Coturnix japonica: one gene and its partner. The protein of the gene in region 2 binds, or shares a complex with, the protein of the main gene of each other region. Links are inferred from orthologs where the notes say so. Each region holds a gene or a part of one and is shown on either strand. Other genes may lie near its edges.

Region 1 (3,500 bases), on a different chromosome or scaffold from region 2:
AATTATAAAGTGTCAAACAAGCCAATGGCTTTTTGACTGGCTCCTATTCAGGTTTTCAATTACCAGATAGGAATGGAAACAAAGTAAGACCGATGCATGTCCTGGTATTGATCAGTATTTCACAGGTCAGCTGTAAAGGACTCTACAGTTATAACCTGGTGCTTTGAACTAGTTTGTTGTTGGGGGGGAATGTGGGAATGATTAGGGAGATTACAGTGTAACAATAGTAAATAGCATGCCATGTTGGCGAGAAAAAAAATTCTCTAGTTTTATATCCCATTTTATCAATTACAGACAAATGTATTTCCAGAGCTTTACATTTCCCTGTGTTTATGGTTAAAATCATAAATTCAAAATCACAAACCACATTGCAACCACCTTGCTCATCTTGATTCTAGCAGGTTTTTTTGTTTCATTTTTGTTTTGAAAACACACAAAAATGTACGTTCCTGATACTGAACAGAAAGCAGTGAAAAAGTGATTTTTTCAGTGTGTTATGGAAAAACCATGCTTTAAAAAAGCATGCCAGAGTTTGGCATGCTTTTATACCTTGTTCTGATAGTTCTCGATTTCTTCCTGCAGAAAAGTCTGCCATGTTATCTGCTGTAGCTCCTCTCTCAAGTACTGGCAAGTTTCCATGTGAGACTTGGAAATATTCTGTGCAAGATGTTCTAAAGGAAAGACCAGAAAGTTGCACACATTAAAAATGCAAAGCTATACCTTCAGACATGAGAAGATGAACATATTCCAGTTACAACTGGGAGCTGCAGGAAAGCTTAGCTGTTAAAAGAAATGCTTTAATTTAATATCTCCTTGGATTTTTTTTTTTTTTTTCCCTTAAAAATAAATCAATGCAAACTGCTAACGCTGCAGTAAACAAAACAGAATTCTGGATGTTAACATACCTTGCCTAGCTCCTCATGGGCCCAATGCAGCCATTAGAGGGCACTCTGTACACACACACACACACACACACATTGCTTACACTCACAATGCAGCTCTGATATTTTAAGTTACACAAAGCAGAATCCTTTCACTAATTTTTAAGATATTTAGGTGGACTTGAATTTATTTTTGAATAAAGAATACTGTATTTGGGACAAACTTACTTCCTACAAGGCAGCAGGTGCCAAAGAAAGCTTGCAAGATCAAAAAGCTTGAGAGATAAAGGCAAAACTCTGTGAAATCATTCAAACTCCTGTCAATTCAGTAAGAGGTCTTGCTGCTTTTAGTAAAATAAAGTCAGCTTTGAAACCTGGGCTAAGAATTATGCTATGAAATAGTATTCAGTCTTAAAAGTCTTCCACTTTTCTGCCCTGACTCTTTGTATTTGTCTTGTCTCATATTTTAGCATATGACAAGTAGACTTGTCTCACACCGTTCTGCAGTTGGTACTTCTGCAGATTAGACCAGCTGCTAAAAGGAAAGCTTAAAGCCACAAGTGCAAGGTCCTGCATCTGAGTGGGGGCGGTCCCAAAACATCAGCCCTGCAGAGAATAATGTGGTAGTAATGGGTAGATAAGGGACTCTATCAGGGAGTGTAGTGACAGGACAAGGGGTAATAGCTTTAAACTAAAAGAGGATAGGTTCAGATCAGATATTGGGAAGAAACTGCGGATGCCCTGTCCCTAGAAGTGCTCAAGGCCAGGCTGCATGGAGCTTTGAGCACCGTGATCTAGTGGGTGGTGTCCCACTGCTTGTTGGAACTGAGTAAGGCTGGTGATCGTGAACATGGGTGTAGAGCTTTGGTGTATTTCAGTGCAATATTTGTTGACCAGTGTGTACTTAAAACACTTATTTTTCTTACTGTCAGCATCTGACAGCATTATTCCTATGCCCTTGCAGGATACAGAAAGTGAAATATTACCATGTTATTCACTAACCTCAGCCTCAGTTCTGGACTGTATTTAAGCATACACTTAAATACTTTCATTGAACAGCCCCACCTTCCTAAATTGAAACATCAGTCTAGAAGACAAACATTCTTCAGAGGTTGTTGGGCAATGTCAGTGCTGGGCACCAAATCACGTTCCATAGGGTTTACATGCAATCACTATGTAAATAAAGGTAAGGAATATGACAAACTTATCTTATGCTAGTGCTCCAAACTGAATACCTGGCCTAAGAAGGAAAAGCCCTTTCTTTTTTTCTGTAGTTTTAATGTTCATCATTTAGTAATTCCCATGAGAACATTAACAATCACTTGACTGAGACAAAGCTGTAAGAATAGTGTTTATCTTAGTTTTTTTCTTTTTGCTTTTACTTCATCTGTTACTGGAGGTGTTTGAACTCAAGTGAGATGCAATGTTTTGGCTGTCACAACACATAATATTGCAGAGAACTGCACTCTACAACATAAGGACATGAAAAATATTGTCCCTTTCTCTCTGCAAAATTTCTCAGAAGAACATAAACTAAAACAAGCAGAATTTCTCACCAAATACTTGCCTCTAATTAAAACCGACAACAAAAGTGACAGATTATCTTGAAGTAGATAATTTTTTCAATTTTTAGGTCATTTTCATATTGAAACATGTAGAAAAAAATGCCATTAAACAAACAAAATAAATGTTTTAAACTCCTGATTGCATGTATAAGTACCAGAATCTTAAAGTCATTTCTGTAACGTCTTGCTTCATTTTGCTTATAACCACTTGACACACGGCTCTCTAACATAAGACCCAGATGCTAACAAGTCATAGTAATGGAATTCAGCCTTCCTATAATCACTGAGGGGAAAGTTTAAAGGAAAATGTGCTAATTAATGCGGTTAATATACGGATCTTAGGGAAACTGTCAAAACATGCTACATTGAAATTTTTTCTCAAGTCTGGAGCCAGATTCTGTTCAGCCACTAGAATGGTGAACTGCCCTCAGATTAGACTGATGTTTTGGTTCCACATTCCCCAGGTACAGGTAAAGAGCAGAAAAAAAAATAGTCCATATAACTTTTTGTTAGGAAACAGAGAATTGAGCTAATAAAAAAGAAGATTAAATGTTAAAAAATATATATATAAATCTTCAAATAAAGAAATACTCCATTTCCTCAGCACAACCAATTATCTTGTTAAGAAGTATACAGAACATGCTATTACATGAATTGAAAACAAAAACAATACTACTAGATCTGATCAACGACAAGCTTATGTGGCTTTTAGTCCACTTCTGTACTGTGTTCAACCATGCACCACAACTAATTAGGGTATTGTGCACTTCACAGAAGAATGCCCATACATGCTCACAGCTGTCCTGAAGCAGCATTCTCGCTATCACCTGGCTAAATGTGTCATTTTATTTTTTAATGGGTACTATCAAGACAATTACAATGGAAGTTTTTCTCTCTCATTACCTAATTCTGCCATGGACACAGTTGGAGAGGTCTCCCCATTTGTAAAAGAACAATAAGGGAAGAAGCCCGATGCTGGTGTGTAGTCACATATTGGTTCTGGTTTGATTCCATTAATATCAAGACCCGACTGATCTGGAGAAGGTTGTATGTC
Region 2 (4,109 bases):
GTGTGGAGCACAAGGGTTGAGTAAGGCAGCTGACTGTGGGAAATGTAACTCCCCAGCTTTGCCCTGGGCAAGTTTATACATGTGCTCCACACAATGCGAGGCATAGTTTATCTTTGAGTGTGTCCTGCACTGTCACCAGTAAAATTAACAGTGCTCTCATGGCTAACAATAATACAGCTGGCACTGCAGAAACCTTTTGCCAACGTTCAAATACAGGGAAAAAGAAAAAGGAGAAAAAAAAAGTGAGCTATAAGCTTTAACACAAGTAAACAAGCTTTTACCAATGAATTAAAAAACAGCCCAATGTTAAATAACAGCTACAAGCAAATACCTACCAGTAGGCTAACCCACATCTGAGTTCTACAACCTTTAGTGAATCAGTTTTAAAAATATAAAGTCTTTAATGTCTTTCACATTACAGAACTCATCCTACGTACAGCAGACTACTGACCATCAAGGTGATACCACCAACCCTTATCAATCACCTGTTTACAATTAAAAAATATCAGTTCGCTTTCAATTCTTTATGAATGTATTTTCTATGACTATAATAAACGTTGGTCATTTCTGCTCTCCAGCTGCGTTTAGTGTATCTGTGGCTTTAGAAGCAGAAACGTGGAGCAAAGAGGAAGGCGTGTCTCATTTGATATTTTTTTATCCCATATCTACTTGGAAGGGGGAGGAAGGGGACACACACTTAAGTTATTTAAGTAAATAATAATAATGCAGCACGGTTTGGCATTTGACAGCTCCTTTACTCTGTGCACACATGGTAAACAAAAAAGCCACTGCCGGGATCCCCCTGGTTAGATCACTAAGAGCTACAGGCAGGGCAGTCCAACAGGAGGCCAGCTTCCAGCCCTGCCTAAAACACACAGCTAAGGGTAACAAGTGCCTACTTGTTAGTTCTTCCTTCCTGCTGACAAAAACATACACCCATCCATCTACAGATTTAAAGCACACACACAAAAAAAAGCCACCAGCTGCTTTATTCTGGAGGCTATCTCAGGCCATACGAGTGCTGATAACGCAACAGGGCAGACTTCCTCAGCCACAAGCTCAGGAAGACAGCTGTCCCAGCAGCAAGAGCCAGAGCCCTGCTCGAACGCAGCTCTGACTGCGAACTCCTGCTCTCCGAGCGCCTGCTCCTGCTGCCCGCGGAGCAGCAATTACTCAGATGCCATCGGATCAGCTCTAAGCCACAAGCGCTCCCAGCCGGGTGAGCCCGTACCACGGGGCCTCTGGATGTGCCACCGGGCAGCGATCAGCCGGGCCCGTGGCAGCGCTCCTCAGGTCGGTGTGGGTCTGCTGCTCCCCTCGGAACGCCCCAGCTCTCCAAGGAGTCTCCCTGCGTCTCGCAGACCACATCTGCCCTCTCCGTTAAACGGAGCGGTACAGCACCTCTAAACACGCACCGTGCCATGACTCAGTTAAATTCCACTCAGCGGCAGTGAGCACCCAGCGCTGCGCCCAGCTCCCTCCGAAGGAAGCCCAGGGCAGCCCGGCTCCTGGATTGCAGACAGATGAGGCAGAAGAGAACAACTTCCACGTCACCTTCTCCAACATCACCGCACCGCCAAAGACGGGAATCGCGCTGCTTCATTAATATTATTTTCCCTTCCAACATCTTCAACACGTGTCAAGCATTTTAGCTTAACTCTTCTTAAAATTAAGAGCCTATAATAAACAGACATGCGGCACAGACACAAGGCTGCGTGCACTGAGGAAGCTTCCTCTTATTCCGTCCACGCTCCGACACCACGTTTCCCCAGCTTTCGCTCCGTTCCAAGTTAATTACCCGCTGACACTTACACAGAGCAGCCTCCGACAGCGCGTTCCGCAGGGAGAAATCACCTTTTAAAGGGCTTCGGGGACAACAACACACGCCCGCACAGTAACCTTTGGTCTGGAAGGGGAACGGCGACGTCCCCGCGGGGCCGCGAGAGCGCCGGCGCTGAGCACGCAGCCCCGTGGCGGCGGGCAGGGAGCTGCGCGCCCGCAGGTGGAGGTGGAGCGAGCAGCGGCCGTACCGGGGCAGCGGGGGCCGGGAGGCGGCGGCCATCGGGAGGGCGGGCAGCGAGGCCGCGTCCCGGCGCTGCCCCGGGCGGCGCCTCCCGACCCCTCGGGCGCTGCGCGGCCGGCTGCGACTCCCGAAATAATCCACGCCGAGGGGAGAAGGAGCGGAGAGCGGCGCTGCGGCCGGCCCCGCGCTAAACGCCGCTAACTTTTCCGCCCCTCCGGCTCGCCGAGCCCCGCGGCCGGGTAACTTCCAGCCCGCCCCACCGGAAGCGCTCCCCGCCGCGACCACCCCGCTCCCGGCTCACCCCGGCATTGTTCCCCGCCGCCGCCCGGCAGCGCAGCGCCGCGCCGCCCCGTCCCCGCCCGCCGCGCTCACCCGCCGGCCTCGCCTCACCGCGGACAGCGGGGCTCCGGCAGCGCGGACAGCGGCGGCTCCGAGCTCGGAGCCCCCCGTCCCCGACTATTAGACGCACCGAGCCTCCCCGCGCCCTCGCCCCGCAACACGTACACAGCGAGCCGAGCTCTGCGCCGCTCCCCTCCGCGATTCGGGGCTCTGCTGCAATGCCTGTGAGGCTGACTTTCAAAGCCTAACCCGCAGCCGCGATCTTCCCCGCCTTCCACCTCGCCCGGCGCGGCGCAGCCCGGCCCCTCCTCCTCCCTCCTCCCCCCTCGCCATTCATCTCCTCCGCCAAGTTCCTTAACCCTTCTCGCTCCCGGGCGCTGGGGCAGGCAGGTGGCCGTCAGCCGCCTTCCCGCTGCTGGGCCGCTCGTGAAGCCCCGGGAGCGAACTCACCGCAGGACCTATATTTAATAAAAAAAAGCTTCGAAATAACACCTTTTTTAATTTCTCTTCCCCACTCCCCCCACCCCCCTTGCTTGTTAAGCATAACGTGGGGAGGCTTCCTGTGGTTACCGCTTTAGAGCTTCTTTTTGCAGCCTTTCCACTGTAAAACTTTTTTTCCTCTCCTGCCCCCGGCCCCGCTGACCCCCGGCCTGGCCCTCGCAGCTCCGAGCACACACCTCAGCCCGCGGCCTGTGCATCTCCACTGCCAGGGGCTTCACGCAGATGGAAGCAGCCTCTCCTCTGCTGTCAGGTGTTGAGAATTGGGGTTGTGGCAGCCTATGAAAACATGGAGTGACCCACGCCCCAGTAAGTGAACAGGTCGTGAGAACAACCTGGGACAGGGCCTCCAAAGAGAACTAGTCCTCCATCTTGGCACAGGGCATCCACGCAGGACTGTGCTGTGAGAAAGTACCTTATGAGTCTGTTAGCAGTCAAGGTTTTCTGTAGACTCCGTTCCCATCAAAGAATAGTCGAAGAGTCAGTAGATCCACACCAGACTGTCTGTTTAGTCGAACTACAGAAAGTGCATGACCTCAGCCACGTCATCCATGGACAGAGCAGAGCCTGTGTTTAAAGAGAGCCGTGATGCTGTGTAAAGCATTTCTTAAACAGTGTGCAGAACTCTTTGTGACACTTCTCTTAGAAGTTAAGGATCGCAAGGAGAAACATTTGTTTACAAATCATTTATACGCTGCACGATGATATCTGTACTAACGTATGCCAATATTTTGGTTCTGAAACTCATGTAAAATAAGTGGCGTACCCAAGTGTGGTTTAGTAACAGGCTGATATCATGAAAGAACATACGAGTTTCTGCTTAAGGAAAGCAAAAGGGAGTCCTGTTTGTGAAAAGCCAAATGCTTGAGCTCACAGATACCACGGCTGAAGTGCACGTAGGAATGTGGAGAAAACCCCTTTTCCTTTGGAATGCGTGGATTGTGTATGCGCTTACAGCAGAGCTACTAATGTATTACTTGACCTATTTTTTTAAGCCAATGAAAGATTTAGGTTAACTTCATCATCATGTGTTTTTAACCACTTTTTTTCTTTTTTTCCAGAAAAGCAGCAGCGTTTGCTAAAGCTACTGTGTGTCACATTTTATACACAACGGCCTCTTTTTCTCTGGGAGAATGTCTCACCATATCACCAGACCATGCTGCCAGTAAAACAACTAGTTCTGCTGTTCCTTTCCACGGGAGCCTCATTAACAAATTCTGTTTGTAAAGAAATGATCTTTCATTTTTTA

What was found. The genes of interacting proteins can lie anywhere in the genome.
Region 1: the proteins of NRIP1 (region 2) and RORA are in contact, whole or in part, in a crystal structure (PDB 4S15), measured with the Homo sapiens proteins. The link is inferred for Coturnix japonica from reciprocal best matches to the Homo sapiens genes NRIP1 and RORA. Residues at the interface, in NP_001426204.1 of Homo sapiens: Thr499, Leu500, Leu501, Gln502, Leu504, Leu505, His507; in NP_599023.1 of Homo sapiens: Gln332, Val335, Lys339, Phe344, Met345, Gln349, Gln352, Ile353, Leu356, Pro505, Leu506, Glu509, Leu510.

What each region holds. Positions count from the first base shown.
Region 1 is NC_029525.1:4,146,547-4,150,046, reverse strand, and holds part of RORA (nuclear receptor ROR-alpha), read right to left. Parts: coding exon 3,350-3,500; intron 672-3,349; coding exon 550-671; intron 1-549. UniProt on the Homo sapiens protein: Nuclear receptor that binds DNA as a monomer to ROR response elements (RORE) containing a single core motif half-site 5'-AGGTCA-3' preceded by a short A-T-rich sequence.
Region 2 is NC_029516.1:88,468,395-88,472,503, forward strand, and holds the start of NRIP1 (nuclear receptor-interacting protein 1), read right to left. Parts: upstream 2,801-4,109; 5' UTR 2,528-2,800; intron 2,512-2,527; exon of another isoform or gene 2,493-2,511; intron 1,997-2,492; exon of another isoform or gene 1,813-1,996; intron 1-1,812. UniProt on the Homo sapiens protein: Modulates transcriptional activation by steroid receptors such as NR3C1, NR3C2 and ESR1. Also modulates transcriptional repression by nuclear hormone receptors.